4 linked regions of the Arabidopsis thaliana genome follow. The protein of the gene in region 3 purifies or fractionates together with the protein of the main gene of each other region. This does not show direct contact. Each region holds a gene or a part of one and is shown on either strand. Other genes may lie near its edges. The genes, in order: AT1G62020, AT5G38640, AT3G16680 and ELF7.

Region 1 (6,846 bases), on a different chromosome or scaffold from region 3:
TCATCTTGGATAAGCTTCTCCTTCAATGGAGAGAAGATATATGTTCGGGCCAACGATCATCATATGACTCGACCTATTTGCTCTCATTGCAAGAAGCGTTGTCCACACAAAATAGTTTTGGAGTCGTCTGGTTCAAAATTTTGTTCCACATCTTGTGTTGGTTATTTTTTGTCTACAAAGGTGAACACAGCTGGTCATCGCGAATATCTACAACGGAGAGGCTACGGAAATTATGAGTTCTCAGCACTGACGTAGAGATTAGTGTTCTCTGATGTGTCTCTGTTTTTGTGTTACTATCGGTTTAGTTGCGTCGGGTTCTGTCGGATCAATCTTTTTATAAAAGCTCGATTGATAAAACATGCAAGGAGAAAAAACTATTTAGCAATCAACATGTTACAGTGTTATCTTTCCCTAGAACTACAGTTAGTTGACTAAACAATTTGGTTTACTATCGGTTCAATTAAAAAAATACATTGGACTTTATCGGTACATTTCGTTGTAGATAAATTTGTAATTAGGAACGACACTCACAAAATTCAAAAATTTGGAGAATTTATAAAATCATAATTTCACAAGTAAACCATAATTTCCGAAATTGAAATTACAAGTTATCCAGTGCTACTATGCATCAAAAAGAGAAATTATAAAGCAAGAAGCTAAAGTTCTCATGTGTACTAAAAGATAAGAAACAACTTTTAAAAGAGTAATAAAAACCTGCAACGAGAAAAATCCTCAAACCTGATTGGTAAGTACACAATCACAAAAACACCAAAAGTTCAACACTCTTATTCTGTTAATAGAGCATCTCTGTATTGATTATGAAATCTGAAATTGATCACCGGACTTGAGATGGAGAGCATAACAAACCAGATGCGTCTGCGCCAATCACTGCTAGATCACAGACCGTGCAGATGTTTCCTTCCTGGTTTGGTACAAACCGGGCGGTGCAGTAAGGACATGAGACGTCTTTCTGTCCTCTGTAGATCGGGACATATGTGGAACCACATACCACAAAAGGGTTCCTGAAGTCGTAGTTAAGCTTTGTTTCATCGGTCATGTTACGTTCAGCGGCTTGCACAACTTGTCTAGCCATCTTGGCTTGGCTATCAACTGGGCTTGTTTCCAACAGTCTTCTGGCGAAATTAGAAGCAGTGGCGAGGTTCTTTGCCTTGTAGCAGACACCCATTGCACTAAGCAGCGCAAGCCGTAAGTGAGGTGTTTGGAGGTTGCAGTGAGTGAAGTAAGCAGCGAGCTCTTGCTGCCTCACCGGATCATCTTTCATCTCTCTCCTCTTGAGCTCCATTTGAAGACCAAGGACATATTCTTTAACGATAACGATTAATTCCTTGACCTCATCCACTTCTCTTCTTGTCTCGACTACCACTAGAGGGATGGTGTGCAGGATAGAAAGGAAGAGACGGAGAGCCTCAGTGAATTTCCCAGTTGTTGTAGCTTTGTAGCCGGATTTGAGCTTCTCGTCTAGCTGAGAGAAATCATAAACAAGAGCTGGTGGGCTACGGACGTTGGGACTGGAAGACTCGCTCCATCCACGCTCAATGGCAAGTGGAACCACAGGACATGAAGAAAAAGCACGCAGATAGCTATGGCTGCCATTGAACAGATCTAGAAACATCGATTTCAAAGGTGTAAAGTTCTTGATACCAAGCTGTCTGTGGAGCAGACGCATTGCAGTGTCGAAGCTTCCCGCTGCGGCTTGCTCAGCAGCAAGAGAAGATTTCTGGCTCCAGCTCTGACTTACGGGCATACCTTGGGGAGGTGTCACAAAAACAGATGAACGTGCATTAGCAGAGGCTTTAGGAGTGTCAAGCTCTGGTGGGAGCACCAAGTCTTCAAGTCCCCATCCACCTTCCTCATCGTTTTCTTCTTCACCTGCTTCTGCAGCCGCCAAAATGTCTTCAATATCTCTGTTCTCCATTCCATCAACATTAATGTCAAGTTCCTCACCCCAATCCCCTTCAACATCTTCTTCATCAACAGTACCTCCTCTGTCTGCACTCTCAAGTCCTCCTTCAAATATTCCTTTCATCACTCTAAGAAGAGGCCAATCACCACCACACATGATGGGTGTCGGTGGCATTAGAAGCGATGGAGTTTTTCCTTCAGGCAATGAGGGCACGTTGTCTCCTAACTCAGTTGCCAGTCGCTCAGCAATGTCATTTAAACCATGAACCGAAGCTGTGATATAAGCTAGAGGCAAATGACCAGCATTCTCCAGTATCTTAACACGCTCTTTAACATCTCCTAGGTAGAGAGCATTGTGAAACTGTCCCATTACGTTGTTCTTCACTTCTGCAATCTTCATCAACTTTGAAAGCTTGTCCAAATTTCCAGTAATGAGATAAAGAAAAGATAACCTCTCAAAGTTCTTTGTCTGCTGGTATGCAAACTCAACAATTCCAGAATTACCTTGGCGAAGAGCCTCCACTCCAAGTCTATACCAGTGGTCTTTCTCGTTAATCTGTGTAGCGGATGCAACAGCCACACTGATGTTGCCACTTTCAAGAGCCAGATTGAATCGGATCCTCTCATCTTCAACAAAATGGAGGGCAACTTCAGGGAATCCTTTCTGCTGCAGGTAAGCAATCATAGCCTGTCCACATAGCTGAGAGTTCTTTATCATGCTCATGACATGATCATATCTCTTCCTCAGCAGTGAAAGCTTGAAAATGTACTCGGTTGCATTAATGGTGATAGCCTTGTTTTTGCCATCCCGATCCAAGCAAAAGATTGTATTACCAGACACCTTGGTGATATAGATTGGGACATCCAGGGTTCGGATGATTCCACTATCTCCATTAGGAAGACAGTACTTGATATGATTCAAAGTTGTGTAAATGAAGACACCATTATCGTCCCAAGCTCCACTTTTCACACGTATCGTCTCATGAAGCGTGCACTGGAGAACAAGTTTTTTGCTCGCGATAATGATAGTATGTTTGCTGAGCAAAGCAACACTCTCCATATCACTGGACCAAACAACGTACCTAACAAATGGTGTCTGAAGCTCACCAAGAACAAGCCTTTGCTGGAGGTCAAAGATAACTACTTTATCCTCAGATCTACAAAGCAAATTCCCAGTCCCAGCATAAAAGATAGCATCTGTGGGAATAGGCAGAGGACTCTTTTTAACCACCTCATTCTTTAGATTCTTGACTAGCACTTGGCTGGTGCTTTTCTCGAGAACAGCAAATCGGTTACGGGCAATGAATACTGCAGAGCCACCTGTCCCTCTCTTTGCATCTTGCACAACGTCACTCCTGCCAACACTATCTTTCGGTATGATGTACAACTCATACGAACCACCATCCAGATCTGAGCAGATCAAAACTGCATTTTCAGTGGGACTGTATGATAGAGTCCTAGGACTTTGATTCAAGCTTGGAGTACCCGGACGCCGTATAGGGATAACTTGGGAATCCCTTTGAGTTGAATATTCATAGTACCGCAAGAATCTATCCTTGGCATAGAACAAAGAATCCCCACTCAAAGCAAATGCAGGACGTTCTCTCTCAAGCTTGAACACAATCATGCCACTGTCATGTCCTGCTGCTAGTAGATTCATCTCAGGGTGAACTGCAAGAATCCAGAATCTATCATGTTCACGACGGAAAGTCTGAAGTCCAGTTCGCTTGGTAGCATCCCAGACACGGATGCTCTTATCTTCAGAGTTTGATACAATTATGTCCTGTTTTGCATGGAACATAACAGATGAAACGTTATTCATATGGCCTCGCAATGTATCCACCTCCCAAGCTTTAGTTTCTGCAATGATATCGTTAAAAACATGTTACCAACTCGTCTTTGCAATTTCGAGATTCATCTAAGGATTAAGGCATGCAGAATATTTTCATATCAGTAACATCATTGACGATTGATAGCATATAAAAATTGTAAGCACAAAAGTATACCACCAAATAATTACCATTCATACGCCACAGCTTTACTTGGCGGTCATCTGCACCCGAGACAATAAGAGGCAGGGTGGGATGAAAAGCAGCCCAGTTTACACCTCTATCATGACCTTCAAGAACGTACTTGACAATGGCATCAACTCCACCAAAAAGATCACTATTCATCTGAGTCAACCTCATGATATCATCAGCAGGAGATACAGTCTTCTTCCTAAGAGCACCAATATCCCAAACACGAACAGTCTGATCTAACGAAGCTGATACGACGAGGTCTTCTTTCGGATGGAAAGAAGCACACATAACATAATGATTGTGACCAGTCAATACAGAAACACAAGTCCGTGATTGCCAGTTCCATATACGGATAGTTTGATCATCACTTGCACTCACAATCCATGGGTACTCATGATGGAACTGAACCGTGCGGATATAATCAAGATGCCCTAGAAGAGTGAAAAGGCACCTGTGGTTTTTGTAGTTCCACACTTTAATCTTGTAATCATCCCCTGCAATATCAAGATCAACATCATTGTAATGCAACAAATCATGTATAGATCCATTCTTTTGAGCTTATACGATTTCACTAACAATGATTCCGAATTATATATACCTCCGGAGACGAAGAGAGGCTGAGAATTGTGGAAATGAACACCACGAACAGGTCCTTCGTGTTCGTCGAATCTATCGATCAAAGTACCCATACGATAATCCCAGAGCTGGATCACGCCACTGTGCAAACTCGCGAGAATCCATGGTCGTTTAGGGTGAAAACTCAGTCCCTTAACTCTGTTACTTTTGGTTTCGAACTTTGTCAACATAATCTCTCAACGATAATGGCACTCTACAAAAACCAGATCACAGAAAAAAAAAAGCGAATCACGAACAATTAGAAATAGATCTAAATTGCAACAATGGTAGTGAGATCAAAACAGAAATTCGAAATCGTAAGGAGAGGAACAATGGTGGTTACCACAGATCAGATGAGTTTACGAACGAAGCGAAGAGGAAGAGGAAGAAGAAGAAGAAGAAGAAGGTGTATAGATCTGAGTGAGTCGCTATGCCCAGATCTCGAGTTCTCTCTTTTGCGTTAATTTGGGATAAAAACATGTATTCAGTGATGAATTCTATATATCCTTAAAAAAAAAAAGGATGAGTTCTAATCTTATTGGTCGAATGATGCAATTTAAACATATTTTTTCCTATTCTTTTTTAACGTCGAAGGAATAAATAATTACTCTAAATTATTTTCTGCCAAAAAAGCTCTTACGTAATTATTTTTTTATGTTTTTGGTCAAATTTAATTTAGAACCTTTGATTAAAACTAAGTTGTAATTTTATAAAAACCAAATAAAAATTAAACTGAGTAAGAAACAAAGTGAAGCCTATTAAAAAAAAAAAAACTAAATATTCATTCACTTGATTAAAAGACGTATATATTATCATCTATATCGTTTATTTTTAATAGATTGGAGCCTCAGAACGTCAAAAGTGATTTTATATATGATGAGCATTTCTAAATTTTTGTATACTATTGTTGAACATAAGTGAAAAATAAATTATGCATAAGATGAACAAATCACAAAAAAACATGAGAAATAATCTAAAAAATATTACGTCTCTATTTGTAATCACGGTTATCGAGTTTAAAAATCCAATTAGCGTAAATGTAATGTTTTCAAAAACATTGCAAAACTTGAAAACAAATTGATCATATGATTCTGAATGAGAGAGACCAATCAAACCTACACACAAAAAAAAAGTGATAGGCGGCCGAGCTAAACGCAGTTTAGGCAGCTGAGGAGGAGCCAGGAGGTAACAACAACCATTAGAGATCTAGTGACAGGTTCATTCACTCCCGTTCAATTATCCATCTCACACTTGCTCTTTGCATCAACTTATTTGCTATCTTAATAGATTCTAAAGTGTATTGATTCATGTTCAAAGAACAATCTTTACAAAAGAAAGGAAAACAGCAGAGAAGATAAGAAAAAGAGATATCCACGAAACATATAATGTATTGTTGTAATATAGACTAGTTAATGGTCTCCTTCTCCTTTCCTTTTGCCTTATAGTACCAGAGCTTGGTTGGAATAGCAAACCATGTAACCAACAAAGGAAGATGCTAGCGAGGTACAAGAACAATGCACAGTTTCTTGATATGACATTCCTTGGAGCAAAAACAGTAATCTCCAATACCAGCTTATCATCATGCTTCGAGACGTACCAGCTTTGATTAGGTTATAACTTGGGACAATCCTCTTCTCCAGCCTCTAGTTGCCACTGGTCAAGTCAACTTCTTTCATCAAATTACAATGCACTCAAGATAGCGCTTGATCATCATTATGCTGAATCCTAGGCCTATACATGTTTTAATGGAGCTCACTCGACACCATTGTGAAGTCATCATTATGTTGCAGGTTTGATGAAATTTGAAGCTTTGGAATCGGTTAGGAAGTGTAATGAAGACACTGTCTCCAACAGAAGGACTCAAGTGGAAAACGAAACTCTAGACTCTAGTGTTGCCCTCCTTGGCAAGGGATAACACTAAAAGACCTTGAATTGATTAACTACACCTATTTGCTTTATATAGATGGATCAACCAAATCTTTGTGGTTATGGATTCCATGAAGATTAACACTCATCAAACAAACACTAAAATTATTCATCCTCGGCTGCTTTACCACAGTGCTTCTTGTTAACAAATAACCAAAAATATCATGTAGTAAATAGTTGTCTTCTGTTTCTAGACTTTTAATGTTGAAGAGTTAAAAAAAGCTAGTAAAAAAGAGTTTAACAATTACAATTTGTCAGTCAGATTGCATACAGAGATGGATCAAGTAAATGGATTGGATATATCAATAGACTATAAAAGTCTTTTCTACTTATTTACCTTATTATAAATCCTCAACTAGCT
Region 2 (5,146 bases), on a different chromosome or scaffold from region 3:
CCATTACTCAGTAAGAATAAATATCAAGAACTCACTCAAATCTATTGTTACAAACAGTGGGCTGCAGGGTTTGTGACTTATTGGTACCCGGGTGGTTCAAGAAACAGCAGAGCCAGTTTGATGCCATGGCATGTGTTCTTAGGGATTTCCATATATGCATTGGCGTTGGTGACTGCAACCACAGGGATACTTGAGAAGGTGACGTTCCTGCAAGTGAATCAAGTGATAACTCGGTATTCCACAGAGGCAATGTTAGTCAACACAATGGGCGTTCTAATCCTTATTCTTGGCGGTTTCGTGATACTCGGTGTGGTTACTCCGGTCAGTGGCAAGGATCAAGTTCTCACACAATAGAGTAAACCCTCGAAAAGATCTCTTTCAACATTTCGACCTATCGAAACATTGTTTATTTAAGAGACAATTTGTGATGTAATTGAGTCTTTTTGAACTGATTTAACGAGCAGTGCATATATGACTGTAATACAAGTAAAGCATGAGAACACGTGTAACCAATGTTGAAGACTGAACCCAACAAAAATTGGCATAGAATCTGAGAAAGATTTGTATCAACCTCCATGAGAAGGGAGAGTAAGAGAAGCCTCACTCATACATCACAGACAAAGAAAAACATCACCGATATCGATAAAATCTTCCCGGAGAGGCGGATGATGAATCGCACTCTTCACAGAGTCAAAAGTTTCTAAAAACAAGTCAAGGCCAAAAAAAATGAACCCGGTACTCAGGAAAAGAAGCGGATGAGGGGAGGCAGTGCCGGTAGTTATTCTATCTGGGTTGTGATGAGAAGAGCCTGAGCTAGAGGAGGGGGTTGGAGAAGAAGAGCTTTCGCAAAAATGAGCTTTGCTTAGACAAGCAAGTGTTCTTTCTGATATTCTCTCACGATGACAGGCACACTTGTGGGAGGTACCTGAAAACGAAAACATTGCGTTCAATGGTTTGAGATTCTGAATAAGTGGAGAAACTGTATTTTATAGGTCTGAGACTTCAGGAACCTAATGCTATGTTTTTAAGAGACGATGGTTAATCTTACCATGCCATAATCTGTGATTATCATGGAAATGTAATCTGAAGGTGTAGCATCATACCTGTCATTAGAAAAATCACAAACGAGTTTAGTGGCAGAGAGGATTAGTATTAACAGAACATAGTTTCACTTCTCCGATAAACACAAGCTTACATCAAGTTCAAAAACTGCAGGTTTGCGTTGTTGGTCAAGCCATCTAAATAGTTTATGTCTTCTCTTCCATGAACTTCTGAAATAGCATTTGGATCACCTAAAGGTAAAGAAGCAAGAAACCCAATGTAAGGTAAAACAAAATCAAAGGCGGTATAAGATGATACTGATATCGAGAGAAGATATTGCATACCAAGCTCATTGGAACATATTGAATCCAATTGCACCCTCTCATGGAACTTGTAGGCTTCGCAACATACAAGCACAGGAACACGGAATGCATTTGCAACCATTGCAACACAAGCAGTCCCAACCCTTGAATAAACTGTTCCGTTAGACAAAACTGACGAGGCGCCCAAAAACACTTTGGTGACTTCATGCATGATATATGAAATGGCATTTATATGAGTGTATGTACAGTTAATGCCTCGTTTGATCAATCTACGAAGCAGTAGCTGCCCTTCAAGCTTTGGACGAGAATCCACCACCAAGACTCGAAACTTTTTCCTGAGTTCATGTGCATGTAATATTACCATCTCAACAGCAGTGGGAGATCCGTAGGTCAGAAGGACATCACCGTCTCTTATTTTAGTAACAGCATGTTTGACTATCACCGTATCTGCCACTATGATCTTCTCGTTAATGAACCGTTCAATATCTGACTGAAGAGTAGCTTTTGCTTCAGATTCAGAAAGTGTTATAGGCAGCTTTGCAATCCTGTTTTTCACAAATCGTATTGCGTTTCCCATGCTAATCGAAAGCGGACGGCATTCTATGAGGAAGGAGACGTAGCTACTTATTTTCGCAGTCATGTCCCTGTTAAGAGACTTCTCAGGCGGTGTTGAATAATCTTTGACAACCTCTTGGAATGCTTGGAGCATCGCAATACACCTGGCATTGCCACCAGAGATATCCCCAGAAAGATATTGAAGACCAACCTGATACCACAACAACTGATACTCATTCAGTATACAAGTAACATTCATCTTAATGAAGCAATATAAACCACTCATTAGAACAAACGGTTCCTTGTTTTAACAAAGAGATTATTAATAGTTTATTAGAAGCACCAACCAGATAAATTCAAGAGAAAACAAATACCTTGTACACAGCAGGATGCATAGGGTCAAGTTGGAAGAACTTAGTCTCGAGATCAGGAAGTTGAGTGCCATGCTCATACTGAGGCAAATGCCTAAATAGCTCAACCCTGTTTTTAGCCTCGGTCTGTTTTACAACAGCACGTCTTTTAGCCTTCACGACTCTACTCTCATCATCATACTGCATGCGGGGATGAGGAGCATCTTTCTTTCTATCTTTTTCAGATGGACCTCCCTTCTTCTCAGCTGCTCCAGTAGCAACAGCAACATCATTCTTCTGAGATGTAGCCTTCGCTGGTTTAGCAGCTTTAACACTTGTTGAAGCCACCGAGGCTGAGGACACTGGTGCCACCTTCCCACCATCAGCTGATATAGCACAGTATTACACAGACTGATTAAGATATTGCAAAATACACAACGATAACACAACAGAGCAACCAGCATATCAAATCTCTGTACTAAGCTGACGAATCATTCATTGCGATAAAACCACACATTGGTTTAAATCAAAAATGCACCTTTTGCAGCAGCTTTAGCAGCTCTTTGAGCTTCTTGAATAGCTCGTCTCTCAGCTTTAGTGGTTTTCTCTTTCAATGGCTTCTTCTGGTCACTCTGCACCTCCATTCCACTAGCCTTCTCTGCAATTATATAACATTGTGAATACATTAGCCTCATATATCCTAAAGAACAAATTTCAAAATCAATCAAATTATGATTCCACAAGATCAAAAGTGAGAGTACCAGAAAGTCCAGGAGGCATGGTAACGACGGAGACAGTGGTTAAACCACTAGCAGGAACACTACTAGATTTAGCAGCAGCCATAGAATCCATCCCAATACCAGGCAGCGAAGAAGCAACAGGAACAGATGATTTTACGAAACTACCCCTGGAATGGCGTCCAGGAGACGCCGTCGTTGATCCATCAGGGAAATCACGGCGACTTGAGTAAGAAAACGAAGAAGGAGACACGGCTGACGCAGCAGCACCAGCGACAGCGACTCGAAGAGGGAAAGTATCAGAGGAATTGAGACGAGGAGGAGGAATCATGACGGGGGAGAGTGAGTTACCGGAAGGAGAAATGGTGGAAGAAGAAGAAGAAGCAGAGGTAGCAGCGATCGGGTCGGGTTGTTGTTGTTGAGTTGATGAATCGGGTTGAGATGATGTGAAGAAACCGACTTGTCGGACCTTTGGATCTACTACGGCGCGAGGGTTCCGACGAGACTCCATCGCGTCGGAGGAGAAGAAGCTCTGGATTTTTTCTCGGTGAAGACGGAATTATTAATTTTGGGGATCGAATTTAATTTTTGTTTTCCCAGACGAATAAAACGTAGAATAGGGTTTTTATTTTTATTTATTTACTTTTTCAGATTTATCCGATGTTAACAGTCCAGTCCGAGTCACTAAAACAATCTTACTTTGTTCTTTTGTTTTTGTTTTGTTTAGAGTATTAATCCATATGCAATTTATTTATTCTAATAGAATCTAGTATCCAAGGTTTTGGTGTCAGTAACATAATAATGAAATAGGAGCATAATCTTATTTAAATAACTAAGCAAGTCCAACAAATTGTGAACTGAGAGAGATAAGAACTGAAACACAGTTCATATGTTTTATCATGTTCAGAGCAAAGGAGACACAGTATAGAGAAGAGATCAAACAACAAGTAGATTCTTTTAGGGCTGGTGGAAATTCATAACATGATCTTACTCAGATTAAAAAGCATATGAGACCTGACGAAGGAAATACTTTGATGGTGGTGACTACATGAAACTTGGGGAAGCTGGGCCTTTGGAGAGACCAAGCCGAACTTCCATCCCGTGGTGAAAGTCTACTGGTTTCAGCGTCTCGGATTCGCGAGGATCTGTAGATTATACACCATTCATCGTCAGAACAATATAAATTGTGAAACTAAGAGAATTAAAAAGTTTAAACATTTTTCTCTTATATACTGAACCAAAAGTTCAACTTTGGTTACACAATGTAAGTAAGTAGTATGTGACAGTCAATTTTTGAGCAATGCTCGATGATTTGTGACAGTCTAACTGGAACAAAGGTTTGTCACTGTCTATTGGTGTTTTGGAGTGGAACAATCTACAAAGTAGAGACTAGTAAGCGAAACGAAATAAACAAGTTGAGACACTTTTCTATTATATGCTAAACAAAGAGTTAAACTCTATGCAAGGATGAGGATGATTTGGTTACACAATGCAAGCAGTATGTGACGGTCATGTTTTGAGAAATGCTCAAAGATTGTAGGAATAGAAAACTCTAATGCACAACCAAATGGGAAAACTGGTGTAAAACAATTACCATTCAAGTAATCCTCAAAACCAAAATTATCTAGAGCTCCTGTGTAGACTTCAAGGCCAAGCATTGATGAAGGAATTGGTCCAGGAGGTCTCTGAAACCTGAATACTCCACATAAAAAGATATACAATAAATATTCAATTCACCAATAAATATTCAATGAAGAAGAGGCTGCTCTATGCGTTTATGGTTCTGAATTCAATCTACATATTGCTACTAATTTAAGAGTATCCACTACGCGTTTATGGTTCTGCAAATCTAATTCTAAGTAGCACTACACGATTATGATTCCGAATTTTCGATATAATCATTATGATGATTCATATACACATTTGTACTAACAATATTTCAAAATTCAGAACAGCAATTGACCTAATCAAGATAGATTACTAGCATTAGGAAACCATATTTCAATCTTAACAGTATTCTATAAAGCCTAAGGAAGATTCTCATACATTCTCATACCTAATAATCAGTGTAATTCAGAATTTCATATGCTACAGATTTAAAGATCCATACCGAGAAAGGATTTGTCTATCAAGATCCATC
Region 3 (3,396 bases):
GGTGTCTACGCTTTACTCCTACACGATATGTTTCTACTAGTAAGTATCATTTTGGTATCAAATGTTTTTAAAAAGAAAGCGAGATTTTTTTTGTTTTTATCATAATATTTAAACGAATTTGTATTTTGTGTGTGTAGGTGCCAAATGGAATGGGATTCTTTCTTGGGATAATGCAACTCCTAATTTATGCCTATTACAGAAATGCCGAACCAATTGTAGAAGATGAAGAAGGCCTCATACCAAATCAACCTCTCCTCGCTTAACCTCGTCTTTTACCCATCAAAATTTCTAAAATAATTTATCCTGACAAACAAAATAAATATTCGATTCTTTTTTCGGTTGAGTATTGGTTTTTGACTGTGTCCTAGCTATTAAAAAAATTCTCTTTTCTTTTTTTTTTTCTCTCCGGATATGACAGTTTTAAGTTTACATTGCAAACATTATTCAATGATTACTTTTTGGTCACACTATGTTTTCTTAATCGAGATATATGACCATTATTGGAATAATGCTAGGCCTGAATCATGCATACATCATTATAACGCCTCCCAAACAAGGTCATAAATAAATCATTGTCAACGGTTTTGGTTATATAACATAGCGATAAGTAATATAACGACCAGATGTTTCACTCAGTCGAGAGATCTTGACGACTTCGCCACGTTTTAGTCCAAAGTATCTCGCAATTGGATCAGTCACGTGAATCCTTGGAAGCTAACAACACCAACAGGTTCCAAATCTTTAATCACCCAAAACTAATAACAATACTTTATTTCTATGTGCAAAAAAACTACAAACCTGGTTCTCTTTCTCTCTAGAAACTTTTGCTTCTCTTCAGTAGTAAGAGCTTGATGCTCAGGAACAAAAACATGTTCCTTAACGTTCACTATCAATTCCTTCTCCTGAACCAACAGTACTCAATCATGGTTTAGGCTTTTGTGATGATCAAGAGAACAAAAATCAAAATGTGTTTTGTTTTTTTAGTTACCTGGAAAACTTCAATATGAAATATTGGATAGACCGCACCTAAAAAAACCAGAGCCTGGCGAGAAAATGCCTTTATATCTTGCACCACTAAAATTGCTCTGAAAACGTTTGCCGATTTTAACTGGTCTATGTATTTCTTCATCTCCGTAATTCCAACTTTGGAAGCATTGGGGAAGAAAATATAAAGCTACAAAACAACTCAAGACGAGATCAAACACACGAAATTACGCGTTTTAGCAGTTTTATACAATGCAAACCATATCTTCTTATAGGTATAAATACATTGAGAGACATCATACTTAATTATACATTACCTTATCATTGTCATCATTTTTCTTAGCTTTGAGAGTAACAAGAGACTCCTTTTCATATTGTCGCCATATTTCTCAATAAACTCTTCTAGGGTCATTGTAATTTCAGAACCGTCGATTAAGTAGCCACGATCCTTCAGCATCTGCATCAATGTCCTCTGGACTAGGAACAGTCGTTTGATCTCTTCGTCCATTAGAGCCATAGTTTCACCGATTACACTGCTTTGTTAATTACTGTCAGCTATATTGTTATTATTCAGAGGATAATGAATAAGCAATTCAGCTTTTAAAAAAAGATATAAACGTAAAAAGGTTTCTTAAATACAGCAGAAGAGAAGATCAAATTAATATCCACATCATTAGGAGATTAATTAATTATTTCCCAACACTAGTACATAGGGTAATCAATAAACAAGAAAGAGTCGATAATTTACAGAAACAACAAGGAGATTAAAATCCATAAAAGTGATGAGGATTAATACTGTTGGAATTTAGGATAGAAAACGAAAGGATCTAAGAGAGAGAGGAGAGAAGCCCGTACGAAGTGTGCAAATTAGCGAAGGAGATAGGGATGTCTCTAAAGCGGCTGCGAAAAGCATTACTTACAGTTTTTTTTTCTTAACACAGTTAATGTCGGTTTGAAGTCTAGCTAATTAATACAGCGGTAAATACGTTAGAAACTCCGAGTATCGATGGATCACGGAATTAGCAACCGTAGCTAAGAGTTCTCAGTATTCTCGAGTATCAATAGATCAAGAGAAGAGGAGAATTCAAAGACTTGAGATAGAGAAAAGCTTCTCTGTTTTCTTATTCAAAACAACCACCGTATCTCTTACAAGTTTAAGAGTACTTATACGAACTTAAGAATAAATCCCTTGTTGAAACTTGAGGCTAAAGCAACAAATAGCCGACACAGTTTAAAGAAAACCTAATAACAAAAACGAAAGCCCAAAAACAAAGACGAACTTGAAAAGGAAAAGACGTAAAAGGAAATAGGAAGATAGACGCTACATCACTAATTAAACTTGTCCTTATTTTTTCCTCCTACTTGTGTAATAAATACGAAACTCGATAAACTCGATGTAAAATAAAAATAAAGGTGAAATAAAAGCAAATATATATTGGACGCTTACTTAACAGTTTACCAAAAAATATATATATTTATATATATATATATATATATATAGCTAGGGATAGAAAGGGAAATTATTTGTTACATTTCATTACAGCACTATACATGCATGCAAGACCCTGGAAACAGAAGTTTTACAAGAGCTTTATTTCAAAGACAGAGACAGAAACTTGACCTTATTCATGCATACGCAAACAAACGTAAATGGTCATGACACAAAACATATATAGAGAAGGGAAACACACTGTAACCGAACATTAATTATGCTTATAGTTTGGTTTTAGTTAGATTGTGGGGATAAAACCGGTTGGGAGGATAGCGACTATGTTGAGGAGGCCGGAGACGATACTGCCGACGAGATTTAACTGGGAGATCAGTTGTCCGGTGGAAGGGAGGGTGGCGTCGCAGCTGGAGCGAGGGGTTGGGACGACGATACGACAATCGTTGAGGAGTGTGGGAAGGGATATCTGAATTCCGTTTGTAGAAAACGTGAATAATCCGGCAATGTTCGTAATTGTTTCTGCTACGACTCTGTTTAGGTTTCCACACTGGAGCTGGACGACCGCATCTGTTATTTGCACCATTAAATTAGTATGTCAACAAAGAGATCATAAATATTATCTTTTTGTGAATATTCGTCATTAAGATAAATATGATTTCGTGAATCTTTTTATTAGTTCGTATATATAGTATAGGTTAAGAATGGACAACTAACTAGCGAAAGCCGGGGCCGGAGTGCCATTGAGAGGGGCGCCATTGATGGTGCAAAAGAGAACCCCATTGATAATGGGGACATTGATACCACCAAGACCACTCTGAGCGTTAGCCATTGGAGACACCACAATGAGACACAACAAGACCAATGAGAAGGTTATGTGTTTCTTGATAACTGCCATCTTTTTTGGATTACTTGTATATGAAACTATAGAGTAGATAGCAAATATTTGTTTGTGTTGCTTTGGGTTT
Region 4 (5,805 bases), on a different chromosome or scaffold from region 3:
AAAACAGCCAAAAACGGTCCACAGATTTTGAGGAGGTGGCGTCGACGCGCTAATTGTGCGAGTGGGTAAGAATTTGAATTTCGCAGTTATGTTTTGGGCTGATTTTTATACTGCCCACTGGGCTACACAAGAGGAAACCCAGTTTCATATAATAATAGGCCCACCTAATAGAAAAAGCCCTTCGTAAAAGAAAACATAGTGGACCATAATAATTTCATTTGTACAAGAAATTTTGAAAATGTCATATTTTCGGGAACCTGTAAAATAACCACAATTGCAACACTGGGATCTACTACAGTACAAGATTTGCTCTAATCCATCCTAATTAATTACTGGTAGTAGAACCTGTATAATATTATTACAGATTCTAATCAGCTCTGGTAGAAAGACAGTGTAAGTAAGTATCTAAGAAGGCTTCTCTGTACAAGGAATTCTCTCAGGGATGTGTTCTCATGAACATAGCCACTGAAGATGAACGGAGCTGCCACATTAGATAGGATCAAAGTCGTAAATGGCCAATTCATTAATTATGGACGTGTACATGTAAAATCGTTTTTCAACTTCGCCAGCTATCCAAATCAAAATTTCTTTACTTGCCAAACTACAAAGCTGTGGTGGAGGCCATATTACGCTTTTAAATTAGCCTACAATAGCCTTGCAGGAAAACCATTGCAAAACCGATTCAATAGTTTGAGGTACACGAAACGTTCATTCAGAATAATCATCCTCATTACCATCACTATATTGATTGGCATCTTGTTCCGGCTCGTGTTTCCAAGATCTACCAAGGCCGCCTTCGTCCTCTAATCTTCTCATCTTGGAGCTCGAAGCACCAACCCTAGAAGAGTAAACCTACATCCAAAGCCCCAAAGTCCAAAGGAATTGGTAAGAGAACTAGAACTTTCCACGTGTTACTCTTTTAAAGGCTAAATGTATGGATTTACTATACCCCTGAATCTTTATGTTCTATCACTGATACAGTTGATCTCCGCCTTACAGTTACCCTTGAAGGTACTGGAAAGTGTTCAATCTCATCAGAAGATCTTCCTTCCCTGGCCCTTTTCTTCCTCAAGTTCAACCTCATGGGTAGGGGCTGCCAAATTCTCAACGGTCATCCCAAAGTATTATAGACAGAAGAAAAAAAAGATACACAACTGGAATATGTAACAAAAACCGATGCAATACCAGATAGCTAGCGGTCCCATTGTCAAATGATACCAGGTATGTGCCAGGATCGTTTGCATTGGGTTGTACCTGTTATAACATCAGGTGACATATTTATTTCAATCTGCAACTCAAACAATCAAAATTTCACTTAAACCACATTGGCTATAGTACATACATCCCAGAGGTATTCGCGAACCCAAGTGTAAGAGATTTCTTCGTTTTCATCATGGATATCCTTAGACAACTGGCACAGCAACATAAATTGATAACACATCAATCAAACTGAACTTTTCTTGACTTGTCAAAATTTGTGTAAAAGAGAGATCAGTTTATGGAGAGGCATGTCTACCTCATCCAAGGAAGGAACCATGTACGCCAGAAATTTTTCTGGATTGGCAGTGTCTGATCCAGCCACCACATAGCTTTTCAAAATGGCCTGTGGAGTATGAGGTCAGAGCTCGTCATCAATATGAAAATAAGGCAATCAACCATAGTTAAGATTCAGCCCCATATATCATATATCCTATCCTCATTCAAGTACACTTATGTAAGCAACAAAAACGATATAGTTGATACAGTCATCTTTTCTCTCAGGAACAAAGTATCCCTATGATAGAGACCAGAGATAATTGGACCATACTCATGGATATCGGTAACTCATAACTCACCCGTGACTCATGTGCATCACGAATTGAAGGGTCCAACTTGCCAAAGAATTCAGAATCAGCTATAGGAGCACCATCAAAATTCGCTACCACAAACTGCTCATCGTACCTGTGTCAAAAAAGGAAGGGGAGAGTCAAATGTAATAGCATAGTATGCTACAGGTTCAGTGAAAATTATTAGTGGATGTTTCATCCAAAAGGCAATACACTAAAACCCTAGCAAAGAAACATTTGAACAAGAGTTGGAGCAGAGAAAAGGGAAAAATTAAAGACCCAACATCTCTCTTAAGTGTTGTATAGTTAGACCTTAACAAGGCTGCCTATTTTCCCACCCGATTGATTACACTATCCTATAGGAAAACTATTCGTGCATGTTTCCGACCACAGGAGATCCTTCAGAGAGAGCCAACATAAAGATAATCTGTAAAGTGTCAGCTTTCAAGCTGTGTCTACATGTAGGACTATTATGAGAAAATTTTGCCTGATTCGGTATTTCAGATTTAAGATTGTCTGCAAGGGGAAATAAAGAGCATCCAACCTATCAAAATATGGCAACAGTGGTAGAACTTCAACCGGCTGCAAGTTTTTATTGGTGGCATGAACTGGTCGAGACTTGCATGCCTCAAAGGATGCTTCAATATCCTTGATTTGTCTCTCTCTAGAGACCAAAGAAAAATAAACCATTAGACCTTTTTTTTTCTCACTTTCCTTAGAAATACACATATTTGAGAAACAACACACCTATTGTTAAGATTGTGCAAGATGTTGATGCCTCCTTTCATCTCTCGCAGTTCCTTTGCTTGCTTCTCCGTTAGCGACTACACAAGGTAAACATAGGAAATTGGAAACTGTCTCTAGAAGCTATACATGGCAAAACAAATTTCCAACAAGCGAGATGGATAGATACCTGTCTTGCCGATTCGTTATTAATAGAAGAAATGTATTGTGTTTTGACGAGCCAAGACATGCCTTTATCAGTAGGTCTTTCTTTCCTCCGGATGCCATCTTTCTTAATAGGTGTAACAGCGTCATCATCACGCAAGAGTTCTTCATCTTCAGGGGCAAGAGGTGCCTTGACTTTGGGAGGGCTGAAAAGAGCTACAACAGTAAGTATCCCCAGTAGATGAGGTCGCTGGCATTAAAGACACTAAGACTTTATTGAGAGCACATACTTGTACACACTTAGGTCAAGCAGATCCAAGGGTATTCCAAGATCAGGCTCGACAAAGATTTTTGGTTTCCATAATTTCTCCAGGGATGTGATGGTATACTTTGTAAATCTAGTGGGATCAAAATAGCTGGCAAGTAAGGACAGTAGAATAACACAGAAATAAAATTTGGCAATAATAGAGAAACATACTGATCTTTATCCCGTTTAATGGTCATAAGCTTAAGCTGTGCACTAGGGTCAGGGAGCTCATTCCGGAACCTTGAAGAAGAAGATGAATATCAGAGTCTAACAATAATATGTAAAAAAGATTTAGGTAGTCGTTTGAAGAATACTGACTTGAGCTTGCAGATGAAGGTGGTTGGTTTCTTTAACCTATTCTCGACCCTGTCGGTGGTGAGTAGGGGCGTCGGCTTCTTCTCCTCGGTGTGTCCCTTGGGCATCTGAGACTTGTGAGAATTTTTCATCTGCTGTCTATGTTTTTCGTCTTGCCTTTGTTTCTCTAACTCCCTCTTCTTCCTAAGCCTCCTCTCTTCTTCGGTCTCGATTTTCTTAGAATGAGGAAGATGAGACCTGTGGTGGTGCTTCGATGGATCCGGTTTAGCACGCTCCCGCCTTCCAACCTGCTTGGAGGCCCCTTTCTCGTGGTCATTGGGACCCTGGTGTCGAGGAGGATCGGGAACGAGCGGAGGAGGAGCTGAGGGAGGTGGCGGAGGAGGAGGAGCTTGGAGCTGGTTGAATTGAGGATAGTGGGGCCCCTGCTGATAGTAAGCATGCGGAGGAGGAGGCGGCGGCGGAGGATATGAGTACGGTTGATGCGACGGTGGTGGGGGAGGAACAGGAGGGGGTAACGACGGCGGGGGAGGCGGAGGGGCCAAAGAATTTTGAGATGGTGGCTGAGGAAGAGGAGGATACGGCGGCCGGTACGACGCCATTCTCGGTGTACTTTGTGATCTGAATCACCTAAACCAACTAAAACGAGTCTTCTTGATATATATTAATTATATAGCTCCGGTCAGACTGATTTTTCCTTTTTACTTTAATTTGGGCCTCACTAGCGGCCCAATAACCGCTACTATCATATGGGTTCTGATAATTACGGCTTCAATACAAACAAAAACAATCTTAAGCTCACCGTTTTATGAATCCCAAATATGAACGAAACATGCTTTGTACCACCAAGCTCATCGACGTGTGACTGTGTGAGGAACACAAAATATTTATTTTCTACATTGATAATTACTCAAACATTATGTACAGTATAGCGAACCGAGGTGTGTGGTTAAACACTCAACACGCTGGACCAACTTATGAAAACCTCTTACCAGGACTTCACAAGCCGAAGATGTTATGGTCGTTGGCACTGAAAATAGCACCGCCAAACTGCCTGGTGTTCAAGTCGCCTCCATCAAGGGCGGTCCCAAAACGGTCAAGCCACTGGGCAGGACTGGGATTCTCTGCCTCTTCCACCCACTCCGACATCATGTCAATGTCCTCCAGGGCAATTGGGTCTGTCTCCAAGGTTATCATCCTCCCTAACTTTAGATTCTGATTCACGTACGCCAACTTGTTCAATATTTCTCTGTCAATCTTGTTTCGCCTTTCCCAGTGCATCTGCTGGAATGTGCTCCATTGGCGTTCCAAGTTGTAACCGCTGCAAACTTGGCTTAGTATTCTGATGGCCACCCGCTGCAAAACAGGTGCTGAGTCACCAAACTGCTCCCACCAGAGACCTGCATTACTAAGCAAACCATTATTAGACATCAACTTCTAGTCTTCTAGTGCTTCGTTACCAATTCTAAAGATCCCAGACCATACCCCTAATAGCCTGGTGAGGGGAAGATATCTACTAGTTTTGCAATTCGGTTTACTACGTGCCAGGCTATATCAACCTGGACTTATTTAGTTGTGTAATAAGACCATAGCTTTAATTGCGGTCATAGATAAGTGGATTATTTTTCTCCCGACTCAGACTACCTATACATCTCTGTTCACTAGTCATGACTTAAAGAAAATATAAATGTATTTATTGTCCATACCTGGTGAAACTGAATCCCTCGCCTCCATGGCCAGGTTACAGCCGAACATTCCCTTTGCCCTAGTGAAAGTGAATATCTGATTTGTAATATCACGCCGTAGATCGCTAGTAGGAAGAAGTTTCTCCAACACTTTGAAAAAATCTTCTTTCAAGGAAGTGAGGAACTTTATCTCTGGGTTATACTGAATACTGGGGTTCAAGAATGCTGCTGCTGCATGAAGAGGTGAATGCAAATGCTCACACCAGTTAGTATCAACTATGTCAGAAAAGACCTTATGCTTATTCTCATCCATGATGTAGTATGTCCGTATTGACTCCTTGGCCTTGGACATTAACTCGTATATAGAACCTACAGCGGGCTTTCCAGTAGAAACTTCCCTCAACACTTTCAGGATAGGCTCGGAAATAGCCACACTTTCTTCCACAGCTCTCCAGAAATCATTATCCTCTAGGATATTCACGCATGAAATGCTCTGTGGTTTGTTAGTATTTGTGGTATACTCTGGGCAATTGAACATGTGTTTTAGCCTTGCCTTTTGTTTCATCATTGACTGTAATGATAGAAAATTGGAGACAGACCTTGTGACACCGCTTCGGATAATATCTTGCCCGCCTGTTAACTTTCTCAATAAATCTAGCACGGGGCTATTGTTGTAGACAAACTTAGATATGACCTGCGCTTGCGATATACATTGATTGACCCAATCAACCTTGGAGAATTCTTCTAAGATGATGTTCAAACACTGAGATGCACAGGGGGAGACGAA

Evidence for each region.
Region 1: the proteins of AT3G16680 (region 3) and AT1G62020 fractionate together in Arabidopsis thaliana (co-fractionation; one large-scale study listed by BioGRID). This does not show direct contact.
Region 2: the proteins of AT3G16680 (region 3) and AT5G38640 fractionate together in Arabidopsis thaliana (co-fractionation; one large-scale study listed by BioGRID). This does not show direct contact.
Region 4: the proteins of AT3G16680 (region 3) and ELF7 fractionate together in Arabidopsis thaliana (co-fractionation; one large-scale study listed by BioGRID). This does not show direct contact.

Annotation. Positions count from the first base shown.
Region 1 is NC_003070.9:22,917,718-22,924,563, reverse strand, and holds AT1G62020 (Coatomer, alpha subunit), read right to left. Parts: upstream 5,078-6,846; 5' UTR 4,903-5,077; intron 4,774-4,902; 5' UTR 4,751-4,773; coding exon 4,543-4,750; intron 4,439-4,542; coding exon 3,944-4,438; intron 3,784-3,943; coding exon 836-3,783; 3' UTR 540-835; downstream 1-539. Other genes in the region: AT1G62030 (Cysteine/Histidine-rich C1 domain family protein), read left to right, coding at 1-255. UniProt on the Arabidopsis thaliana protein: The coatomer is a cytosolic protein complex that binds to dilysine motifs and reversibly associates with Golgi non-clathrin-coated vesicles, which further mediate biosynthetic protein transport from the ER, via the Golgi up to the trans Golgi network.
Region 2 is NC_003076.8:15,467,158-15,472,303, forward strand, and holds AT5G38640 (NagB/RpiA/CoA transferase-like superfamily protein), read right to left. Parts: upstream 3,568-5,146; 5' UTR 3,518-3,567; coding exon 3,031-3,517; intron 2,928-3,030; coding exon 2,808-2,927; intron 2,656-2,807; coding exon 2,294-2,655; intron 2,131-2,293; coding exon 1,386-2,130; intron 1,293-1,385; coding exon 1,196-1,292; intron 1,104-1,195; coding exon 1,049-1,103; intron 1,029-1,048; exon of another isoform or gene 926-1,028; coding exon 863-925; 3' UTR 522-862; downstream 1-521. Other genes in the region: CYB-1 (cytochrome B561-1), read left to right, coding at 58-354; APE1 (acclimation of photosynthesis to environment), read right to left, coding at 4,051-4,151, 4,601-4,698, 5,117-5,146; AT5G38650 (Proteasome maturation factor UMP1), read right to left, coding at 4,051-4,151, 4,601-4,698, 5,117-5,146.
Region 3 is NC_003074.8:5,681,430-5,684,825, reverse strand, and holds AT3G16680 (DNA binding / DNA-directed RNA polymerase), read right to left. Parts: upstream 1,491-3,396; 5' UTR 1,302-1,490; intron 1,175-1,301; 5' UTR 1,130-1,174; coding exon 989-1,129; intron 903-988; coding exon 799-902; intron 715-798; coding exon 696-714; 3' UTR 548-695; downstream 1-547. Other genes in the region: SWEET16 (Nodulin MtN3 family protein), read left to right, coding at 1-39, 138-263; AT3G16670 (Pollen Ole e 1 allergen and extensin family protein), read right to left, coding at 2,715-2,998, 3,146-3,326.
Region 4 is NC_003070.9:30,000,035-30,005,839, forward strand, and holds ELF7 (hydroxyproline-rich glycoprotein family protein), read right to left. Parts: upstream 4,050-5,805; 5' UTR 3,936-4,049; coding exon 3,340-3,935; intron 3,262-3,339; coding exon 3,193-3,261; intron 3,113-3,192; coding exon 3,005-3,112; intron 2,921-3,004; coding exon 2,740-2,920; intron 2,651-2,739; coding exon 2,574-2,650; intron 2,491-2,573; coding exon 2,371-2,490; intron 1,942-2,370; coding exon 1,836-1,941; intron 1,604-1,835; coding exon 1,517-1,603; intron 1,412-1,516; coding exon 1,343-1,411; intron 1,255-1,342; coding exon 1,186-1,254; intron 1,094-1,185; coding exon 950-1,093; intron 853-949; coding exon 709-852; 3' UTR 504-708; downstream 1-503. Other genes in the region: AT1G79740 (hAT transposon superfamily), read right to left, coding at 4,333-4,733, 5,040-5,805. UniProt on the Arabidopsis thaliana protein: Component of the PAF1 complex (PAF1C) which is involved in histone modifications such as methylation on histone H3 'Lys-4' (H3K4me3). Involved in regulation of flowering time.